Oryzias latipes: one gene and its partners. The main gene of each other region encodes a partner of the protein of the gene in region 2 in a complex. Links are inferred from orthologs where the notes say so. Each region holds a gene or a part of one and is shown on either strand. Other genes may lie near its edges.

The links.
Region 1: timm21 (region 2) and smim20 share a complex: the UniProt entries of both Homo sapiens proteins name them as parts of the MITRAC (mitochondrial translation regulation assembly intermediate of cytochrome c oxidase complex) complex. The link is inferred for Oryzias latipes from reciprocal best matches to the Homo sapiens genes TIMM21 and SMIM20.
Region 3: timm21 (region 2) and timm17b share a complex: the UniProt entries of both Homo sapiens proteins name them as parts of the TIM23 complex. The link is inferred for Oryzias latipes from reciprocal best matches to the Homo sapiens genes TIMM21 and TIMM17B.
Region 4: timm21 (region 2) and timm17a share a complex: the UniProt entries of both Homo sapiens proteins name them as parts of the TIM23 complex. The link is inferred for Oryzias latipes from reciprocal best matches to the Homo sapiens genes TIMM21 and TIMM17A.

What each region holds. Positions count from the first base shown.
Region 1 is NC_019876.2:17,384,943-17,390,858, forward strand, and holds smim20 (small integral membrane protein 20), read right to left. Parts: upstream 3,936-5,916; 5' UTR 3,854-3,935; coding exon 3,745-3,853; intron 1,906-3,744; coding exon 1,849-1,905; intron 976-1,848; coding exon 932-975; 3' UTR 742-931; downstream 1-741.
Region 2 is NC_019878.2:15,517,110-15,522,927, reverse strand, and holds timm21 (mitochondrial import inner membrane translocase subunit Tim21), read left to right. Parts: upstream 1-1,845; 5' UTR 1,846-1,860; intron 1,861-1,969; 5' UTR 1,970-1,991; coding exon 1,992-2,274; intron 2,275-3,408; coding exon 3,409-3,471; intron 3,472-3,602; coding exon 3,603-3,700; intron 3,701-3,809; coding exon 3,810-3,883; intron 3,884-4,351; coding exon 4,352-4,457; intron 4,458-4,543; coding exon 4,544-4,636; 3' UTR 4,637-5,160; downstream 5,161-5,818. UniProt on the Homo sapiens protein: Participates in the translocation of transit peptide-containing proteins across the mitochondrial inner membrane.
Region 3 is NC_019865.2:21,320,645-21,326,389, forward strand, and holds the start of timm17b (mitochondrial import inner membrane translocase subunit Tim17-B), read left to right. Parts: upstream 1-1,712; 5' UTR 1,713-1,737; coding exon 1,738-1,763; intron 1,764-3,416; coding exon 3,417-3,516; intron 3,517-3,596; coding exon 3,597-3,660; intron 3,661-3,818; coding exon 3,819-3,947; intron 3,948-4,027; coding exon 4,028-4,138; intron 4,139-5,745. Other genes in the region: pqbp1 (polyglutamine-binding protein 1), read right to left, coding at 160-260, 385-496, 577-643. UniProt on the Homo sapiens protein: Essential component of the TIM23 complex, a complex that mediates the translocation of transit peptide-containing proteins across the mitochondrial inner membrane.
Region 4 is NC_019863.2:11,441,028-11,446,789, forward strand, and holds the start of timm17a (mitochondrial import inner membrane translocase subunit Tim17-A), read left to right. Parts: upstream 1-1,891; 5' UTR 1,892-1,976; coding exon 1,977-2,002; intron 2,003-3,293; coding exon 3,294-3,393; intron 3,394-3,620; coding exon 3,621-3,684; intron 3,685-4,569; coding exon 4,570-4,698; intron 4,699-5,620; coding exon 5,621-5,731; intron 5,732-5,762. UniProt on the Homo sapiens protein: Essential component of the TIM23 complex, a complex that mediates the translocation of transit peptide-containing proteins across the mitochondrial inner membrane.

The DNA of each region.
Region 1 (5,916 bases), on a different chromosome or scaffold from region 2:
GGCCGCATGGAAGACCGTGAAAGATTTAAGGGCGATTTTTCCAAAACGCTCCGTTCGTCTCTGTAGGACCATAAACACAAAACCTTTGTCCTTTTCTTCATCCATCTTTGCTCCAAAAGGAATCTGACCAAACTCTTAAAACAAAACTAAACTAAAGAAAAAAACACAAAAAAGAGGGGGGGGATGGATGGAAGCTGGTCAATGTAAAAAAAAAGAAAGAAGCCGTTTTGGATGTTTTTTGGTTTTACAGCACCTGTGGTCTCATAAAGAGAGGCTGGATCTTTTTTTATTTTATTTTGAAATCCATCATGGATTTGTCCCCCCCCCCCCAAAAAAAAAGCGGCTAGCTCAAATGCTGGCTCATGGAATAAATGCAGTCTCCTCTCTACACCACAAATGACTGGACAGCATCGCTTTCCGTCCGAAAAATGTTCACGACAAACAAAAAAAAAAACTACAAAAAAAAGTGCAGCCGGAGCCTCTGAGGAGCGCGAGGAGTAAACAAACCTTTCAGAAGAAGTTCCTACAGGCCGCATACCCGAGTGACACTTTTCAGAAGCCGTTTTCCAAAATAAATCCTGCAGCTGCTGGGAGCTCTCTGAAACACTTTGCAGGCATGCAGCGCCCCCCTGTGGACACAAAGTGCTTAACAACTCATTCCACCTTAAAAGATTTCTTTTATAAACTAATAGCAGGAAAACAAAAAATGTCATCTCTTAAAGAAATGTCAAACAAAGCATGAACGTTTTCATAAGTTCTTGAAGTTTATTCAGTTCAAAAAGTTTTCAGCAAACACTCATGACATAAGCCACGCACACGCGCACACACACACACACACACACAGACACTCACACATTTATCAGAAAAGCTTTTTGGCTCCCTGGTCTTCCTGTCCGGGAGCACCGGAGGGCGGCGAGGAGGGAGGAGCTTATTACTTCTCGGAAGGCTTGAAAGGATCAGACCAAACTTTTAGACCTTCAGAGAAGAAAAGAAGAAAAAAAACCACGGATGCTGCATGATCACAACGATACAAAACAGAATCAACCGATTTCTTTTTTTATTGGGAGATCACATCTGAAAAAACAAAATAAGCTTCAAAATAAAATCCCAAAACGATACATGAATTGTTCTCTTTGTAGAATCAGTGCTTTGCAGAGCAGACGTTTGCTTTAATAGATATTAAATCCCGCAATAGTTATTAAAAAGATAATAATCATAAATGGAGATTAAAGAAATAATGTAATTAAACTGAAAGTTACAAAAGAAACAAAATACTACAGCAAATGCAGTTGCACATGGTTTTTAACTTGTGCTTTATTTCTTAATTTAGCTCCAAACAATGTGTTTTTTAATTTTGAGTTTCAGAAAATTCAGAAAATGTTTAGGCCAAATGTGGACATTTTAGTCATTATTGTAATTATCAAATGATTACAGAGGATGTAGAAAGTGATCCTGTGACAAAATAAAGTTGATCTAAAAGAGCAGCCGGGCTGCCTTCACTTTTCTGTGACTCAAATCCAATAAAAATGTCAAACTGTTTCGCTTTCATGGCGTTTTTTGTTAAGGATAAGAAATCCGACCAAAATACTTTCACAGATTCTTTTCAAAAATTGATTTCACTTAATCTGCCATCCATACTTAAAGTAAAAACATTTGTTTATTGTTTTTAATTGATTAAAAACGGACCCAAGAAGTGTTTTGGAATGACAAAATATACAAAAAGATTCCTCTTTTGTGAGGAAAGTTGATCCAAACATTTCTCTTTTTTTTTTTTTTTTTACCAGTATTGTCAAAGCTCCTGTAAGCATCATTTCACCCGCTTTTTTGAATTCAGCGACCTTTTCTTACCCACAGGCTGCACATCTTCCTGGTTTATTCCGGACCGATTTATCCTCTGAGTTTGTCCTAAAAAGGAGCACAGCATTTCAGTTAGATTCTTTATTCTAGGGAAAATTTTCATGCTATGATCCATTTCAAAAAATTTCTAGAAATGTTTGATTTCAAATGTTTTTAAAAAAAATTAAGGAAGGAGAGTCTAAAGCTTCAGTTTAGGGAACATATTTGCCGGTGATTGTGAAAATCATTACAGGGGTTGTATTTTTATAATAGTAACATTGCAAAGGTGCAGAAAATCCATGGAAAAAATAAATAAATATTATTATTACTTAAATAATATAACAGTTAAAAAAAATCCTACTTTAAAGAGCTAATTTCAGAAAACCTGATTCATTCGTGACATTATAGTGTGACCTCAAGTAGCTTGAAGTAGTTAGGATTCAGTTTGACCTAAAACCTTCAGATCCTGCTGCTTACATGAACACATCTGGATTTCTCCAAAGATGGAGATTTCTGGAAGAGTTATTCAAGCAGGAAGTCCGAATCTGTGACCATCTTTCTAACTTTACCAAATCCTCTGAGTGCTGCACTCTGATTGGTTAACTCCCCCCTCCTCTAACCCTCCCTTCCCCCAGTTCCATTATCAGACACAGATCAGTTTTGACACAAGTTTCTTGCAAGGAATGTGTCAGAATTCAGAGCGCAGTTGTAGCGCACTTGTGATTTGCGCCAGCAGATTCGAGCAGACGCAGAAGCACATTTGAGCAGTTGGAATCACATATTTGACGTTGTAACTCTAAATGAACACATGCAAATGGGAATTTCTCAGTTCACAGCAAAAGATTTTTACACAAAGATGCAGAATTTTGTTGTGCAAGTATTCACATTCTATATTACAAGATCTCACATCAAATCAAAAGTGCGTTCTTTTTGGAACATATTTACCTTCATAAAGAACAGTCAGATTTGTTTTTTTAGTTGTGTATTTTGATGCCTAAGAATGAACTTTTTCTGTTGTTTTTTGTTTCAGAAGTTTATTTGAACTGCCTTTTTCCCACATCCGATGCAGAAAAACTTAAAATAAATCAGGCAAACATAAATCCTTGAAGCAGGAAATAGAATTTTTGGAGAGACATCTGGCCCAAATACTATTACCAGCCATAATCCATTAAAGATATCAGGCTTTTTTCACCTCAGTAAGCAGACTACTGTTGAAATCAGATCATGATCGGTGTGCATGCAAACTGTTAAATAGCAGCGGCTGAAAAGATAGCTTTTTTTATTTTATTTAATTGTACTTTCTCCTTCATTTATGTTATTTATTATTATCATTATCATCATTATTCACATTATTATTAGTAGTAGTAGTTGATTTTCTCTTTTTCTATTATTATTTTTAATAGTAGTACTAGTACTAGAAGCAGTATTAGTAGTCGTTTTCTTGTCTTTTTCTTGGGCAGACTTAATAAATAAGCTTCTTCCTGCTCTATTTCAAACATGTTTTCTATTGTTGTACTATTTTTGCTGTAGCTGTTTTTATTCATGTTTTCATCTTTAGATTTGCATCATTTTGACTGTATTATTTTTAATTATAAACATGTTTGGGGGAAAAACATAGAACCTATGAGGAAAATTACTTTAAAAGTTTGCTTATTTTCAGCTTTGAGGACAAAATACTCAAATGGAATTAAACTACTAGCTAGCTAAAAGTTAGAAGCTAGCTTCCAAAAGCAGTTTAAATAAAAAAAAAAATACTTCAGTACCGGTACTTCAAATATTTTTTTCAAAACAGCCTTTAGTTTGATTTAGGAGAATATCTTTAGAAAATATATAAAAATATTTGTGACGTTTACATGACATTGTATAAGAGCTAAAAAAATAAATAAATACAAGCTGTTAGCTACTTACTGTACTCGTCTCTGTGCGTCAGAGGATAGACGAAAATAGGATATAAAGCAGCGGCGACTGTTGTTATAAAACCCCCAAAAATCAGCGCTATTCTTATATTTTTCGACATTTTTCTAGCTTGGTAGGACGTAACCTAGCATTAAAGACACCCCGTGTTTACAACTTGTACTTCCGGGGAAAAGGTTACGCTGTCACATTTTTTTTGACAAATCTTTATTTAAAAACCAAAAATGACAAACAGCAAGGAACACAGAGCAATACACTGTATATCAATTTTGATAGATAAACGCTAGGGGTTATGAAAGTAAAATTATGTTAATCTATTAAACTGAGCCTAAAATCACTTCTAGTGAATGATATAGAAATTACAGATGAAAAGGCTGTATCCTCAGAAATTTACAGATTTTATAGCCACCTTTACAGCTCTAAATTTTCAAGAGCAGACTGTGACAACTTTATAAAAGAGATTCCCCACATCCCCAAAATAGACGACAATTTTAAACAAACATGCGATAAACAACTTTTAATCTCTGAGCTTGATGCTGTCATTAATCGACTCTCTCTTAATAAATCTCCTGGTTCAGATGGGCTCACAGGCGACTTTTATAGACACTTTTGGGAAGATATCAGAAAATTACTGTATCAAGTCTTCTTGGAAATCTTGAAATTTGGCCATTTATATTACGAATTGTTATGACATCAAAAAGTTAAATGTCTTGGGTACAGAGCTTATTATTGGCCAGCTAGCAGATGACACAACACTGTTTTTAAAAGATGAGCATCAAATCAAAGCAGCTATTGAAAAAGTAAAACACTTTTCCAAAGCGTCAGGGTCAAACTTAAATTTAAAGAAATTGTGAACTGTTGACTATTCATGACACACCTTTAAAAGAAATCAATCATATGCCCATTAAATCAGAAATTAAATACTTGGGGATCTACATCACCAAAGACCAAAAAATAAGCTAATCAAGGAATGTGGGTGAAAAACTGGATGAATGTGAGACAGAGTTAAATATGTGGCTCCAAAGAGACATGTCGATGCAGGGCCGGATCTATCTGACAAAGATGGAGTGTTTGTCAAGATGTATTTACCCATCTTACTCTAATGCCATCCCAAACAAAATGATAAAATCCATCTGCCAAATGACTTTAAACTTTATTTGGAGAAACAAGCATCATTACATGAAAAATAAATATGGTCAAAGAATTTAAAGATGGTGGTCTCAAAGTTATGAATTTTGACTGCCGTAACGGAATCCTATAGATAAAATCGTGGATCAAACACAACCAATCTTTCAATCTAGCATTATCAGAGTTCCACAATTCTGCTATACTGGAAAATATTGTATGTGCATCGCCATTTTTAAGTACTATTTGGAACAATGAATACATGCTCCATAGAAACAAGTCCTTGTTTTGTGCTGAATGGTTTGGGCAAAGTGTTTGGTCGGTGACTGATCTGATGGACACGGAGGGCAATTTATTAGATTATGAGCAATTGTGTTTAAGACATAACTTTAATCCTCCTATTTCAGAATTCTTAAAAGTACGTAATTCTCTTCCTTGAGAATTAGTATTTCTAACAAGGAACACAATGACACATGTAATGATAAAACGACAGTTAGACACATTATCAATTGAAGCATGCCCTCTTATGGACAGAAAATGTAATAACTCTTTTATCAGAAATTGGTTAATTGAAAGATTATTTCCTGGACGAGAGAACAAAAAACAATATACTGCAGAAATTTGAACAAAATGTTGTTACCAAATTAAGAACCGATTTCATGAAACTTCCTATTCTCCCAAAAGTTAAAGAAACACACTTCAAAATTATGAATGATATTTATCCCTCCAAAGAATTACTTAGATTACGTTTCAACATTGATGACAACAGCTGTTCCTTCTGCCAAACTGCTGTTGAAGACATCGGCCACATCCTTTTCCTGTGTGATGTTGTTCAAATGTTCTGGTTGGATATTTACAAATGGTTAAAAAATAAATTCCCATTCATCATGGACTTCTTTTCGAAAGAAGTAATAATCTTTGGCCACAACAGTGTAAATAATGTATATATCAATACTGTGTTATGTTTAGCCAAGTTTTTAATATACAAAAATAGATTACAGAAATGTCACCCCAGCTTTACCTTCTTTAACAATGAGGTCA
Region 2 (5,818 bases):
TCTGTCAAAATACAAAAGCTTTTATTTTTTTATGTTGACGTGATGTCTTCACGATAGAAACTTGTGTTGTTTTATATAAACTGGTCATTAGAAAAGTTAAAGGTAATGTTACAGCTTTTAATTATTGGATCAACTAATTTTTAGTTTATTATTTATTTTTTTTGCATTTTACTAACAGTTTATTCTGAATGTTTGTGATGCAGAGGATTTTTTAAAACTCAGTTTGGACATTTATTTGATAACATATTGGGAAAATGCTGGACTGAATCTTTTAAATAAACTAATATTTACCGCTTTTATTGTGTGGCAACGTTTTTCTCTTATTTGAGTTTCAAATGCGACAACATGGGGCCACTCTTCAGCATTTCCACAAACCCGTCCCGAGTCTGGGTAAAGGCAGAGGGTTGAGTCCAAGACGCCATCCGCTGTAAAACTGAAGCCAAACGACGTGGGAGGATTTTGTGGTGATCCCCAACAAGAGTAGCCAGAAAATTAAAACAAAATCTGTGTTTGTTATTTATTTATTCTTGCTTTATTATAGATTATATTACAAATTGACCAGTTTTGTATTTGACCAATCCCCTGAGGAAGAAGGAAGCTGGTGTGACAATGGAAATATTTTGTTCAGTGGCAGTTCTACACTGACTTACAACCCCCCCCACACCCACATTGACCACATCGTTTTGTGTTCCCTATTTTTAATTAACACAAAAATCAACACAAATGTAAGAATTTTATATACTCGTATTACAAGGGTGTCAAACTCAATTGCACAGGGGTCCAGGTTGTGGGCCGAACAGGATAAACATTTAGTGAACACATTAAAGATACGTTTTCAAACATTTTAAACTTATTTTGAACAAAAATTTGAATAAAAACAGACAGGAATATTGTTTCGGAATAAATCAACTTCAAGCAGCCCCAAAAATGTAATTGATAATCACAAAGACACTAAATAACATTGTTATAAAATCTCAATCATGTGGATTTGCTTTCAGGAAAGTGCAACTTTAATTGAAATAGGAAAGAAAATATATGCATTTATCAGATGTTTCTGAAATTTGTGGGAGTGCTGACTCAAACAGCCATTCAGCAAATACATATTCATGTCTGCTGTGCATTTAAGTCCTTAGCCAGTAATGCTGTAGTGAGCAGTAATTTGTTTTCCTTTCATTTTTTATCAACATGAAAGGATCCTTTTAAAATAAATTATACCTGTAATTAAAAAAAAAACTTGTATTAATTAAGGGTCTATTTAAAGTATTTACATAATCCTAAGTACCAAGTCAATAAGTTTGAAACCTTAAGTGAATTATTTTTATGTTGAAAAAACTCTGCTTCTAATTAAGTATGTCTAAATTGTTGCATGTTTTGTTTTTTTGGATTTATAACTTTGTTTTGTCTCAACACGTTTTACCTTTGTTATAAAACATAAAAACTGTTTGATCTCAATTTTTTAATCATTGTTTTAGCAGAAAAAAGACCACATTTTTTCTGCTAAAAAATGTGGTCTTTTTTCAAGAATTCTTGAATCTTGAATCTTTAGCAGAAAAAAGACCACATTTATCACTCAGAATTGACTTTTTTGGACAGTTTCAACTTCATTGTGGAGTTATTGTGCAGTATAATGAAAACAAAATCAGTAAAACGAAGTGTGGGTTTTTAAAAAGAGGATGGAAATCAAGCATTGCCGCAAAAACCGATTTGAAGATAAATCAATAAAGCGAAATACGACGTAAGGTCAAAAAAGCCCCAGACCACAAATAAGGCTGCAGTTTGACATCCGGGACAGAAGGGGGCAGTAGCCATCTTTAGAAAATCCTCGACGTCTGATCGACCCAGCAGGTCAGTGAATCAGAGGTCTGAATGGCGGTTTCCAGCATTGCAATTCCATGTTACCATGAAAGACCGCTGTTATTTGATTCTTATTTTCAGTAGATGAGCTGCTGTTTTCTTTTCTTTTTTTCAGATATTGTCCGTCGGATAAAATAATGTCTTTCACGCACATTTTAAAAGCCGTGCAACAAAGTGTGCGGAGCTCCGGGAAAACATTTCTCCCCGTGCAGCAGGCTGGCGTGCTGTTGTTCACACGCAGAGCAGGAGCGGTCATCCCCGGCCTGTCCGTCCGTGGGTCAGAGGCTCCTGTGTCCGCCCTGAGCTGTCTCTGTCAAACACGAAGACGCTTTTCTGTTCACGTTATCCTCAGAAACAAGGAGGAGAAGCACAGGTCTGTTTCTGCCTACCAGAGTCCTAAAGTGTCCTCTGCTCAGAAAGGTATGCCCATTTCAGATTTGTGCAACTAAACGCATATTTACTGTCTTGTCTCTTTAAATGGGGTTTAAAGCTACTATTTTATTTAGAAAAAACTAAAAATCTTGTTTTAGGACCGCCCATTTTGTTTTCTTACAACCAAAGCTGCTTTCAAAGTTTCTTGGCAAGTAATAACTCCTACTCCCTTTCCTGTGGTGTTCCTCAGGTTTCTGTTCTGGGCCCTCTTTAGTCTATACCTCATTCACTCACTTTATGTACTTCATCTTTTTCATGTGATTTATTGATACCTAAAGATTCTTAATGACCTGAAACTGTGTTGGTAAGGTATAAATATCCGCTTAGAAGTTATGAACCGGATACTTCATGTAAAGAAAATGTTAAGTTTGATAAGTTTGCTTCCTTCCACTCCCTTTCAAGCCATCTTTAATTAAATGACTAAATATTCTATGTTTGATACATCTTAGTTTGTATGGATGTTGATTGTGTAGTTTTCAGCATTGTTTTTGCTTTGGTTGCTTGAAATAAGCAATGCCAAATCCAATTGAACAAGGTTTATTGAAAAAAGAAAAGAAAATCCAAATTAATCTTGAAGATAAATTCTGCATTAATTCATCAAATCAATGGATATATTTCATTTTGCATTTATTCCAGCATTGGAATATATATATTCCAGACCAAGAATTTGCTCCTTTATTCTATTTTTATGTCATTATTTTTAAAGTAATGAAGTAATTACTAACTCTGGTAACGTTAGGTTGGGGGTGTGAGGGGGAGCGGGTAATAGGTTGGTGATGGGAAGTGGAGCAGGCTTGCTCCACGCCAACAGCACAGTGGTCAATTTCTATTGAACTACTGCTGCTCTGCAGAAACTAACTAACTAAAGATCTTTAGGACTTGTCATCATAATACCTCGGGGCATACTAGAGGGCCAGACCTAACGTTATGTTGATGAGTTCCTCCTCCTCTTGTCATCTCTTATAGCCGCAGTCTAATAGAGCTACCCGTCTGCACAGACACACAGTTTCCTTTTATATCAAACCTGGAATATTTTCACTCTGGGTTAAATTTTGCTTATAAATCTAAACTCTTCCACTATGCATTGGCCACTCAAGAGCCTCTGCTCTGTTTGTCTTTCAGTCAAAGATGCTGGGAGAGACTTCACCTACCTGATCGTGGTCCTCATCGGGCTTGGAGTAACAGGTGAATTGAACTGCACGAGTCCAAGGAATGGCTACACAACAATCCCACATTGCTTGTTTATATATTTATTTATTTGGTCCCAGAACACACAACCTAAATAATCAGCTGCAGTTTTCTGCTGTGTTGGTCAGGGGGGCTGTTATATGTGGTGTTCCAAGAGCTGTTTTCCTCTACCAGCCCAAATAAAGTCTACAGCAGAGCCTTTGACAAAGTCAGGTCGCACCCAGAGGTAAAAATCAAGCCAGACGGCGTCTCCTATCAATATTTTTTTACTGTTGAAATGGCTAGAAATCATTGTTTTTCCAAAATAAAAGTAAGAAATACATAATCAATTGCAGGTTATTGGGGCATTTGGAGAACCAATTAAATGTTACGGTGAGACCACCCGCCGAGGGAGAAGGCAGCAAGTCAGGTGTGTTGACACTTTATCTTATCTTATTGAACTTTTTCTTACTTGCAAAATGTTGCTTTAGCATTCATTGATTCATGGTATAGAATACAGTAAATCTGATCAAACTTGGCATAACAAGCAGCTGCCTTTAGTTTTAGAGGAAATGCTTTTGCAGGATTTGAAGGACTTCCTTTCAGAATCACAACCTGTGAACATCAGCTATAAATCATATTTTCAGCAGCATTGAATTTCCTTCAACGTTTATGCAAAACTTGTCATGAAGGAGAATTTAGTTTCAGACCCCACAGCTATGAAACATAAAAGTTTTTATTGTCTTTTGAAGAGCTAACGTGGTATTCGTGCTGATTTATTGTAAGCATCTGAGAATCTGGAGCTCTGGAAGAATGGAGTTACAAAATGTTAAGGTTATTACATATATATGTTATTGTTGGAGTTTTTTTATTCCTTATTCTCATATTTCCACTTCAGTCACGTGGAGTATGTAAAGGATGGACTTAAGCACATGAGACTAAAGTTTTACATTGAGGGATCGGAGCCGGGCCTGAAAGGGACGGTGCATTCAGAGTCTAAAGAGGTAAGTCTTTATTTAAATGGAAACCTGTTGTTTCTTGTGTGGATTTTTTGATCAGTTGAGATAATGGTATCCTTGTTGTTTTGCAGAATCTTGAAACTGGAAAGTATGAATTCCGTTATGTATTTGTAGAAATAGATACCTACCCGAGACGGACTATTGTTGTGGAGGACAACAGATGAGGAGCTTTTCTGACACTCAGGGGACAAGTCAAGACGTTTGCACTTGTAAAGCAGGGTTTCATGTCTGTGAACTAAATAAATGGCTTTTTCCTGAATATATTATTGTGAAATTTTAAGAAATGGATTGGTTAATAAAATTATTTCTCAGCATTTGGTAGAAAGCTTCTCTATCGCAGTGTTAATGAAAATACAATAGTAATTTGTAAATAGAACATACAGAGATATTTTTTTGAAGATAAATGTATGCTTTTACAAATGATCACATTCTACAGAACTAATATGCTATAAAACATGAATTTGATCAAATTTTGCTTTTAAATGTAGGGGATGTTTTACTCCATTCAAACTTACTTTATCCTTTTTTGTTGTTTTACATGTAAAAATGTGAATAAAAAAGAATCACCAGATGGAGCTGCAGAATTTAGTATTTTGAAAATCTAGTAAAATGTGTAGCAACCCTAATTTAATTAAATAACCTATTAACATGATTTACACTGAATTTTAAATAAAAACTTGCAGAAAAATGTCTAACAAATCTTTTTTTTTTTTTTTTTACTTAGTCAATTTTAACAAATATGTCCCCATTGCTACAGCTTTTGACACCCCCAAAAGAGTTTTTTTTTCACACGAATCTCCTTTTTAACACACCCTCTTTCAAATTTAGCATTTGTAATTATTATTATGACTTTCAATTAAAAAAATGTTTTAATAACTTTATTTTAACTATTATTATTTGTTTTTCAAGTTAACCCGTGCTCACCATGTTGACAGATTGAAGGCTTGTGCTGCCTTCGCGGACTGTTGGAAATACTACAAACTACTAAGGAGTCGCTGAAAAACGGGTTGTTACACCGTTTTCTAGCTTTCTACGTGAACCCAATGTTAAATTGTGATCCATGGTGAATGTAAATATCACAGACACCTAAATGTATTTTTTTTACTAATAGAACCATCTTGAGTAAAAGTCGATTGTTTTTCCCCCTCCACACACGAGGTCTCACGAACACCGCCCTCTGACAAAGCGAAAGGCAGCTGTAAACGCACCACATAGCTTCGTTAGTCGGCTAGCTTCAAGTCTGCCGTGCGCGTGAAGTTGTTAGCTCCTCGTTAACTTGTCGCACGCTTGAAAAATAGATTTTAGTATTCAAAAAATAGCAGCCATGGTTTTAAAATAGTTCGGTT
Region 3 (5,745 bases), on a different chromosome or scaffold from region 2:
ATGAGAGTTTATTACACATTCATGCTCTTCATGTTCTTTTTTTGTTTCCTCATACCCTTGTCAAAAAGTAAAAATCCAATATTTTGGACATTTTATGAACTCTGTAAAACAATTTTTAATGAAAGCAGAGCAAAGTCATCTACTTTACCAAATTCTTACCTTTTGCTTTTTTGGCAGCTTTCATTATAACCGCTGACGGATCATTTGGGGAAAGCCAGGAAACCAGATCGGACTCAATGTTCCAGTAATAAGGAAGACCGCTGGGAAATGAAGAAAACAAATAACTTTAGCTGCAATTGCTTTTCATTTCAATGGTAGATCAATGACACGCAGTGATCATACTCAAACACAGCAGCGCAGCTGATCGACTTCGTTTCTACGTACCACGTCGAGTCAAACACTTTGTACCAATTTGGGGGAAGATTTTCTAACCGAGTGGCTTCATAGTCAACATTGTTGTCATCATAATCTTCAGCGATGATCTCCTCCTCTATCTCTGTTTTGTTGAGGAGAAAAAGTCGTTTTAAGCTCAGAAAAAAAGCAGAAAGTAAGCTCTGTGAGGATGTAGAATACTACCTTGATCTGAAGGTTTAACTATTCCTCTCTTGGCCAAACGGGCCAGCAGGGCTGGAGGTAGAGGCATCTGCAAGCACAGAGGAGTTAGGATTAAATGATGATGCAAATGCTGACAAATTCTTCAGTTGATTACATACGAATTCACCGATTGTGTACAGGAGTTAGGATTGCAGAAATTTTGATTAAATATAAATTCTTTTTAAAAAAAAATAAAGGTTCCATTCCAAAACTAATTATGTTCGTTCACAAACATTTTTGCCTAACTAGTGATTTAAATAAAGCAAAACTTGAACTTTAAATCAATAAAATTCAACTTCTGGCTTTAAAAGCAAAGAAAATGTTTTATTTAACCTGACAAATACAAAATATTACTTTTATAGAAAAATCAATTAATTAAATAACTGATTTGGCTTTAATTTGGCAGAACTGTTTCGTTTCAAACTAACCCATAAAAGCAACAACATAAGAGACACCCATTACCCCAAATTCTGAAATTAAACATGTTCTATGACCAAATCCAGATGTACAGATGTGTACATTCAGAGCACCTGTATAGATAAGGTATTTGAAGCAAACAAATCCATTCTTCACTGTTTCTAAACAAATTCTCTGGAGGAAAATTTTATGATAAGGTGCGAAATTTAAACACGCACGCACGCGCGCGCACACACACACACACAAAACTGTCTCAATTTCAAAGCAGCTCAAAAAATGAAACAGGACTTTTCTGAAAGTTATTTCGATGGTTCTGGTTCTACTATGGAGCGATTGATTAAAACTCTCAAACGTTAAGTTTTTTTTGTCTTTTAAATATTGAGGTTAGTGTAGCTCAGTCAGTTTTAAAATATCGATAATTAGCAAAGAAACAATATTTCAAGAGCTAAAATAATCTGCACGAAAACATGATCCAGGCCCGTTTTTCTGAACTCAACTCACAGCTGCGGTTAAAATAAATCAAAATCCCGTCATTTTGAAGTTCCTAACTATAATAAGAAACTCAATTAACCAAGTAAGCGTTTATATAAATAACAAAGAGGGGGGAAAGTCTGTACCTGTTCTTAAAAACGACTATTTCAATCGTTAAAATCAACAGACCACCACAACGAACGATGAGCCGGCGCCTGATTATGACGTCACTGCGCTTAAAAGACGACACGAAAGATGGAGGAGTTTGCGCGTGAACCTTGGTGAGATTATCTTTTTTTGTCGAATAAAACCTAAACATATTAGTTTGTCCTTTGGCTTTTATGCAATTTTGCCCTCTTGTTGAACGAAACCTGACCAGGTTGAATAGTTTCGCGTCCACCACCGAGAAGTAATCTAATTTCAACTAGAATTCTAACATTTCGCAGGTTATAAAATATATTATTTCTACAATTTATGGAAAAACGACAACATTTACTGTTAGTGCTTTAAATTAGCTTAAAACATATTGCGAACAAATGTTACATATTTTGTGACATTTTTAATTAATTGGTAGTAAGCTTGTTTATTGTTTTTCAAGCCGAAACATCCAATTTATATCCTTGTGCAGAAATGGATGTTTTATATATCACAGAATATAATGGTATTTAATAGCAATTAAGATCACAGTTACATTTATTCTATAAATCCTAAATGCAGTTTAAATCTCTCAACAACTTTCAGACATTTTAAAGAATAATCATTAACATTGTCTACTATTTCATAGATGGATGATTGTTTATTAGAATTCAGTAAAGTCGACACTTCTAGGGCTTCAGGCACACAGATCTCCTCTAAAGCTGCCCCAACTCATCAAAATGCTGACATGCTTGTCATTGAGTCATTGATAATCCAGATTGATAATAACACTTCTGAATTTAACTGATTATAGATATTAGATAGTTGTTATGGTTAACCCATTTACTTCTGAGTTCAGAGTTTTTGGAGGGATTAACAGAAAGATCCCCCACCGTCTACAAAAGGAAGACACACAAACCAATCAGAGTAAAAACATGGAGACAGAATCATTTGTTTCTCTTTTTGGTCTGCTCCTGCTCCGTCTGCTTGCTGCCCCACGCCGCTCCGTCTGCTTGCTGCCCCACGCCGCTCCCTTCTGCCTCCTTTTTTCCCCCTCGCAGCTACAAGCTCTGCCACCTCTGGCTCTTCTCTGTTCTGATCTAATCAGTTTCTCTCTGATCTGTTCCTGCTTTGTGGTTATTCCTAGTTTTGAACTTAAAGGAAGTCAGAATTCACTCCCCTTGTGTCAGAAGAAAACACTGTGGATCTGTGATCCATTATTTTGCCTTTAGAGAGTAAATCTGAATGGAGAGAACCCCCTAAGTTTATAAGACAAAAGAATCAGAGGAAAATCCTTTAATTTATCATTTGACTCGTGACAAAGTAGAATAAATAGAAGAGTTAGCATGAAAAAGCCTGTGTCTTCTCATTTAGATCTTTGTTTGTTTTGAACATTTGAGCCTCCTGCAGCAGTAAGCCACCAGAAAGAACAATAATATGTTGCTGTTTTGCTGTCTTAATCCAATGACTAATTATTTAAACAAGTGTTTTAAAGCTGTTAAAGAAAATGCAGGTTCAGTGTGACCTTAAATAATGTCTGCATCTGTCGTTTAATAATATACTGCAGCTAAAATTGGGATTTGGAGTTAATATAATCCAAAGATGAATTCTTGTGGAAGCTGGAAAGTATGCCGGATCGTTGATAGCTTTCCTAAGAAATTAATAAAAAGGTTATTTGTTTCAGTTCTACACCTTTAACTTCTTGGCCTAATTTTGGTTCATTCAGATCCTGATGAGTCAATCTGCAATTTTTTTCCTCTGTGTCCGTAATTTTTCATGATCTGACTTCTTTCCTGCAGCCCCTGGAGGATTGTGGATGACTGTGGGGGGGCGTTTACTATGGGTGCAATTGGTGGAGGGGTGTTCCAAGCAGTCAAGGGGTTTCGAAACGCCCCCGCCGTGAGTTAAAACCACAAGTCTGTTGGCTCTGATGCGCCTGTTTTGTGAGGATAATAATTAACAGCAGTCTGACCTTTCAGGGTGTTGCACACAGGCTAAAAGGAAGCGCCAATGCAGTGAGAATAAGAGCGCCGCAGATTGGAGGTGAGGAGATTTTGCTCTTATTAATAACAAAAGGTTTCCTGGCTTCACCACAATGTCATTTGCTGTTCATCTCTTTATTGGAAAAATTATACCTAGATGCCATAAGAGCTGTTCTCTTCTTGTTTTTGTTTTTCACACTCCCCTGAACATTTTTGCAGGCAGCTTTGCAGTGTGGGGGGGGCTCTTCTCCACGATCGACTGTGGTCTGGTCCGTCTGAGAGGGAAAGAAGACCCGTGGAACTCCATCACCAGCGGGGCCCTGACCGGAGCCGTTCTAGCAGCACGCAGTAAGAGCGAGTCTGGGCCGCACACTCTCAGCGGGTCGTAGTGTTTGGTGGAATTGAGCGGACAGGGTGTCTTTCCTCAGGCGGACCGTTGACCATGGTGGGCTCTGCCATGATGGGAGGAATATTGCTCGCTCTCATCGAGGGTTTTGGGATCCTGCTAACCAGATACACTGCACAGCAGTTTCAGAACCGTGAGTGAAACTCTTGAATGGTGGTTTTATTCTTCCAAAAATGAGTTTTTGAAAATCATATTTGTATTCTACAGTAATATAAATCAGGTTGACTTTTTCTTTGGTGTATACATTTAGTTATTGTTACCTATTCACACTATTGAAGTTTTTTTCGCGGCAAATGCAGAAGACACCAGGGAAATTACATCAGCAAAATGTGATTTGCATTGTTAAAAAAACACGATGAGGGCAAAATGAAGGCTGCAAACTGGAATTTTTTGGTTAATCCTTAGTCATATGCTGGTTTTTGGTTTGTTCGGGGCTGTGGAGGGTCGTAGAGACAATCAGCTGCACCTTGAGGGGAGCAGATGTGTCTTTTAGTTTCCCTTCAGTCTCGTACCTAATGGAACGTCACTAAAAATGCAATGTACAGTTGTCATGCGTTTGGTAAGTTTGTATTTGTGAAGTATTTCTAAGGATAGTGACGTATGACTGGCTTACACCACACTCTATTCATTAGCAGGTTGTGCACACTGACTCAAATGCTGCACACCTGCGATGTGGAATTGCCTGTAGGACGTTAGTCAGGCTGCACGCAAGGAGCGCACACACATTGTTTAAGCGTTCACTCCGATTTGTCATTCGCAGCGTGTCCGTGAAAAAACTGTGCATGAACATTCTTGCTCAGAGCATTCTACGACCTTGTTGTTTCTTGCAGGCCACCTATGTGCCCCGTACAGGTTTGCCCATGTTTCGCTCGCAGACAGTCGTGAATTCATCTCATTGTGGAGACATGCATGGCAAGGAGCCGCCCCCCTTAGCCTCTTTTTCGTTGAACAGAACGGGGTGGATGAAACTTTTCTAAAGTTAGACGGTGTTATAGGGGTGTGACGACAACCGCATCACCGCACGGTTTTCTTTTTTCTTTTAAGTTGTGCATATGGTGCGTGATTGGAACATTAATAAACACATTAAACACATTCATCTTTGCTGATAATTTACTTTTTCTGCTATTCCTGTGTTCAGACTTCAAGGGTTTCTGGGGGAAACCTTTTATTACTGTTCTCTCCTTCACTCCCTGCGCCGCGCCTCTCCCCTCAGCGCTGCACGCGCTCCCTCTTCTTAGACACACACGCGTGGTTTCAGCAGCACACACACATCCTCATTCTACAACAGAAGTTTCTGTCTCGCGAGGAAATACGACAAATTTACAAATTTAGTTCTCATTATTCATTTCCATTGTATTCATTTCCATTACAAGCTTTGTGCTTTCTTGAGTGCGAGACACGGCCGCCCGCCGGAGGATTTTGTGTTGGGGGGGGTTTATTACTGTTCTCCTTCACTCTGTAACACCAAACATGAACGCGCACTGTTAGAGTGGGATGAATATCACTACATGTTTTGTTTGGGAACTATTTTGTGCAGCGCAAAGTTACGTGTCCGTATAAACAAAGGCGGAGCCTCCCGCCCCGCGTTCTTCATGGGTGTCAGGCTTCATGGCTACAGGAAAGGTGACAAAGTGTCTGCAGTCTGTTTATTACTGGGCAATATATAATATTCTGAGAAGATGTCTGTACCAGAGAGCACAGGTGAAACTCCCGTGCAGCTCTAGAGCGGTCCGCTGCAGA
Region 4 (5,762 bases), on a different chromosome or scaffold from region 2:
TGAGTTTTTTAACCAGATGACTACAGTTAGTTATTTCTGTTTTTTGAAAAGAAGATTCGATTTTTAAAGTATTCATCATCCTCCTTTCTGGATTAAGAACGTGATGCAGTCACTGGGTACAAATGACCCACTCCTTTGAATCCACAGCAGCATTCTTTCTGTTGCTGACAACAAATCACAAGCGGTTTGGAAACGGTTGGTTTCTACATGCGAGGTAGCCGTCATCCTGAAACAGAGGAGAGGGGAGCTGCACTGGCTGCAGGCCAGGTTGTGTCTCCAAACTCAGTCCTTACACATGAAATGCCCATATTTGGTCATTTCTCAATGAAAGCTCACTCTGCAAGTCATTCCTTTCCTATTTCTAATAATGGGCTTCATGCCAGCCGTCTCTCTGCACTGCTGCAGCTCCCCGACCACCAGTGGTATTTACCAGGGGGGAAAAAAGAGGAAAAAAGAATCGAAGCTGTTTTGTAAAAAATATCATTTAAAGGAGGAAAAGAACCCAGATGATGCTTTTCAGTGATTAAGTTTCATGCACTGCAAAAATAAGTAGCCTAAAAAGACAGAAAGAGCACTATTCTTGAGAAGAAAACCACTAAAAACTAGTAAAATTGTCTCCAGCAAGTAATTTATACTTATAAGATGTTAAAATCTAGAAACAAGCTGTTCCACATAAGCATTCAAAAAGAGAAAAATAAGCATACTTCGAGAGAGTAACTTATAATAATATCGTACGGTCCGATAATAAGTATTTTTTGCTAGTTCTAAGCAAATGGATTTAATTTTTTCAGTTTTTATAAACCTAATTCTATTTCATTTTGATTACAGTGACAAAAAATAGTTAAAAAGTAGAAATGACTCATTTTAGAACAAATCCTCATAAAATTTAGCTCTAATTGTTTGAATGTAAATCAAATTCTCAGTTTCCAAAACAAGGACACTGAATGCCAGTCTAACATTTATTGAACTCTAAAATAAAATCTTTAAAATTGAGCCAAAAATGACACTGTAATTAGAGATTTTTTGAGTCTTGAAACAAGTTTTTTCTCTTGTCGAGAGTAGGGAGCAAAAGAGTTTGGATTCATTTTAATACTTATTTCTTTATTTCTGTATCTCTGCTCTTCCTGAGAATGTGTATAGCAAAAATAAGTTCAAACAACTTAAAACCTGGTAAAATATCTTGAATGTCTGAAAAGGTTTTAATCTTTGAAAGAATCAAATGCTTTTCAATGTGTGATCTTGGGTGTATTATTTTAGTTTAGCTTTTGGTTGCTCTGAACTACATGTGGCTGTTTTTTTGTTTTGGCAAACAATTCCAAAGCCTTTAAGTAGCTGACATTTCAGTAGTTGAGCTCTCACAGAGTACACCCGGACACTTGATGTATAGGGTTAGGGTTGGTGAGTATTTTCAGAAAGGATCCTACTCCCACCAGCAAAGTGTTTTCTTCTTCTTCATGTTTTAAATCCAACCTGTGATGTTTCTGATGTTGTGACTAATTTCTACAATCATTCATACTCTGTCTGCAGTCACATTTATAAATGTTAGCATTGTCACAAACCACATCAACCACCCAAGGATTGGCTAATAGATCAGCTAATATAAATAAATTATGTGAAAAATTAAGTATAGATTTTTATTAAAAAACAAAAGCAAACACATATTATCAAATTTTTATAATTTTTAACTACGTAAACATTTTATATTAAGAAGTATTTACTTAAAAATAGTGAGGCATTTGTTTGTCCACGAGTGACAGATTAACTGGAGATTTTGTAAGTTATTTATTTTTGTCTTCTATTTCCCTGGAATTATAAATAACCAAAAAAAGCGGAAAAAATGTATACAGAAAACTGCAACCACACGTCTGCTCGATAGATGGCGGTACTCATTACTTTCAACTATTGGTTTACGTTCTGTGACGTCAAGAAGAAGAGGTTACGTCAGGACGCTCAGGGGAACACGGTGAAAGAACAAAATGGAGGAATATGCGAGAGAGCCGTGGTGAGTTTTTTATTTATTTATTTATTTTTAAATCACCTTAATTGTCTGGTTAAAAAACAAGACATGTTTGTTCCTTAACTTTGAGTACCTATTCTGATCACCAGTTGTAATGACTTTATCAGTCCTTAACCTTGCATGCTAGTTAGTGGTGTTAGCCGAAATGCTAATTTCTCCCTTGAAATCTATGGGTAGCTTGACGCTAACGACATACCGGCATGGTCGTGAAATCACGTTGGTGACCTTGTCGGCTATTTCGTCCACATGTAACTCTACTGACTTCACTGAAAACAGTAGTTGACTTTGCACTAAATAGAACACGGATTGCATCAAGTACCAAAAAGCCAACATCACCATTGTTGTTCAGAGAAAATTTGTATAACTTGTTATGAGACCCGTGTTGTTGTAACTCTGACTGCTGTCAACCCGAACCTGTGAGTGATCGGTTTTACTAGATTCCCCAAACACTTGTTTCGACATCCTGTAATCAACTTAAAAAAAACCATCATATCTACGTAAAATTGTGTTAACTATAGGTGGACTGTAAAAACCCATCTTAGGCCTTACTGCCATTAGTGTGACACTAAGTTGTTATATTTTGGCTGATCCATGACCAGTTGTCTTTTTCCCACCTCATTTAACTAGGATGTGACAAAACAATGGAACTTGATGCAATTTTGCTTGATTTCCACAAAATATATCTTTTTGGACGGTTTTGAGCTTTTCTTTAACACACAGTTGCACTGTGTCCTCTACATATAGCATGTTATTTCCTCTTGGCATTGTTTTAATGGTCTGCAATATGTTTCATTTTGGATAATAGGCATGACTGTAATGAAGTCTCCTGTAGCACATCCTGAAGGTCTCAGTGGTATTAAGACCTGGGTGTTGAGGTATTTGGTCCATGCATGAAACAATGTCTAAAGTTCCTAGAATTAGACGTTGTAAATCTTGGGCTAGCTTACTGGCATGCAGATGCACTCCCCAACCCCAACACACAGACAGAATTAAATCAATTCAAGTTTTAAGTTGTTTCATTTAGTTCTTAACCAGTTATGACAATAAAAAAGTCTAAATTATTGATGTCTACTGTGGACTTGTTTTTCTCTCAAGTTTGATGCATTTATTCGTTTTTGTCCCCCCCCCCCCCCCCCCCCATATATTTGGAACTCATTAACGAACAAATACCTGCTGTTTATTTTAAAAATACTCGTATTAGGTTCTGTAGTCTGTTGTCTGGCACTCCATGAGTACAGCATGAGGTTAAGCTTTGTCTGTGTTTTTTGTTTTTTAGCCCCTGGAGGATTGTGGATGACTGTGGTGGAGCATTCACCATGGGAGCTATTGGAGGAGGGATATTCCAGGCGGTAAAGGGCTTCAGAAACGCACCCTCGGTAAGTTCAGTTTGGACATTTGAACTGTACGTGTGTGCCGTCACATGGGTTTGCTGTGATTATCTTTCTCCTACCTGTAGTGGCAGAGCCAGTGTTTTGAAAGCCTTGGCCTTCTGGTTCAATGACTCGCTCAAGGAAGCTTTAAATATTTTCCAGCGAGATGGGTGTTATAGTGTTTATCTGCTCTTCACACTTTTTAAATCTGTTTGTGCTGGTCTTTTTTGTAGGGAATGAGCCACAGGATGAGGGGTAGTTTAACTGCCATTAAGACCAGAGCCCCGCAACTGGGAGGTAAGACAAAAAAAATTCCACATGTGCCGACACTTATGTCTCATTTCCACTGAGCGATCCCGGTCCGGTCAGGTGATTGTCTTTCCTCCTGCGTAGTGCCAATAGAACAAAAGCTAAGCTATCGACAACAACAATGCGTGTTGTGTTTTTTTTTCTTTTCTTCTTTCTCCAAGATGGAGGATATATAAAGAAAATTAGGCTCAAAATTCTATTTTGAGTATTTCTACATCGAAATCTTTGTGAATCAGGCGCAGACGCAAAAATGTTGTTGGAAAAAGCTTGTAGGTGTGATTAAAGGCATCTGGCTCAAAACTGTACGGCTGGAAAACTCCAATATTGCTTGCCATTTTAGTTGCAGCGGTAATTTTAGGTTGGGGTTGTGAGGGACTGTAAGCTAGCAGGAAAGCCTATAAATGGATGGATGATGGGATGTGGGGATGGACTTACTCTGCCAGCAGAACTTGGAGGTGAATTTTTAATGAACTCCTGCTGTTCTGCAAAAATTATGTCCTAGAAAATGACATGTTCTTTTATTTTTTTTGCTCAAATCTGCATAATTATAAGTAAAAAGTCCACTGGGGACACTTTTACAATAGATCAAGAAATGATCGGAGTGGGACTTTGATGGGGTTATTCTGCTGTTCTGGTAGCAGGTTGTTTACCATGTAAACAACAATACCCTTGAGTCATGTCAACTTCACCAAAAGGTCAAATCTTCATTGGTTTACGTTGCTTGTTAACCATTACTGTGTTTAAACTTTTGGTTGTCTTTTTTTTTTTTGCAAGGTTATATTCATAAACGGGTTTATAACATTTTCTGCTATACTGTCAAAAAAGATGACTGATGGTTACTAGTTGGTAATTATTTGTGGGTGTGTGTTGCAGGTAGCTTTGCGGTGTGGGGAGGCCTTTTTTCCATGATTGACTGTGGTTTAGTAAAAGTAAGAGGGAAAGAAGACCCCTGGAATTCAATAACAAGTGGTGCCATGACTGGTGCTATTCTCGCTGCAAGAAGTAAGTACAAATTTCCCCTTTTGAAAATAGACAGAACTTCAGGTGAAATTTTGCCTTGATCTAACTTGGAGCTCATGTAGTGATACAGAATTTCAGTAACTATATAACATTGGCACCAATTCAAATCATTGAATGCTATCTAGGTGGTCAGACACACCAGAATCATTTTACTTTGGTGAAATTCCATGTTTGCACATGAACAGGAACGTACTGGTGGAGGTCCTCTGTGCTGTATGTAGACTGTGGCTAAATCCACACAGAAACGTATTTTTAAAAAAACTGGCATTACATCTAATAAACTATTAAACTTTAGTAAATGTTTTCTAGAAGCATATGTGGCCCATCTGTCATCACATAATGCAAGAAAGAGACCGTCTATTTTAAACGGTCTGTAAAAGTTACATTCCACTTTGCGTTTCTTTTGAATTTCCTTTTTTGGCTTCTCTCAGCGGCTTTTTTAAGATGTTTAAATTGTGAGATGTGTGTGCACTACTGTTTGCAAAGGCTTTTGTCTGATCAGAGCTCCACTTTTGGGTTCTGTGAGGACAGAACTTATCTAATTCTCTCGCTAACGGTACTACTATGTGACCTCCAGGGACTTCTTACATTTTTAGAAACTTAAAGTAATTAAGACATTGGTTTTATCCAGAAGATCTGTACAGCTCCTAGTAAACTATTGTGGAACAATTTTTCTTATCGTCGATAATTTTTCTTATCATCGATTTTGTTGTGTGCTTTTCAGTTAGCTGATGCTGCACAAGTGCAGCCTGCAGCTTTATTTGGAAAGTATAATGCCAGTAATCATGTCAGAATAAGTCAAGTGTTTGAGCTTTCAGAGCTGCATTTCATTTAGCTTTACCAGAACTTCCCCATTTTTGTATATTTTTGTGACGTGGGCTGCGACGTGTGTGTTTCTCTGTAGATGGGCCTGTAGCAATGGTTGGCTCTGCTGCTATGGGTGGGATTCTGCTGGCATTGATAGAGGGCGCTGGAATCTTGCTTACAAGGTTTGCCTCTTCACAAATCCCAACTGGTGAGTGATGTTTCTGATGCAGACACACCGT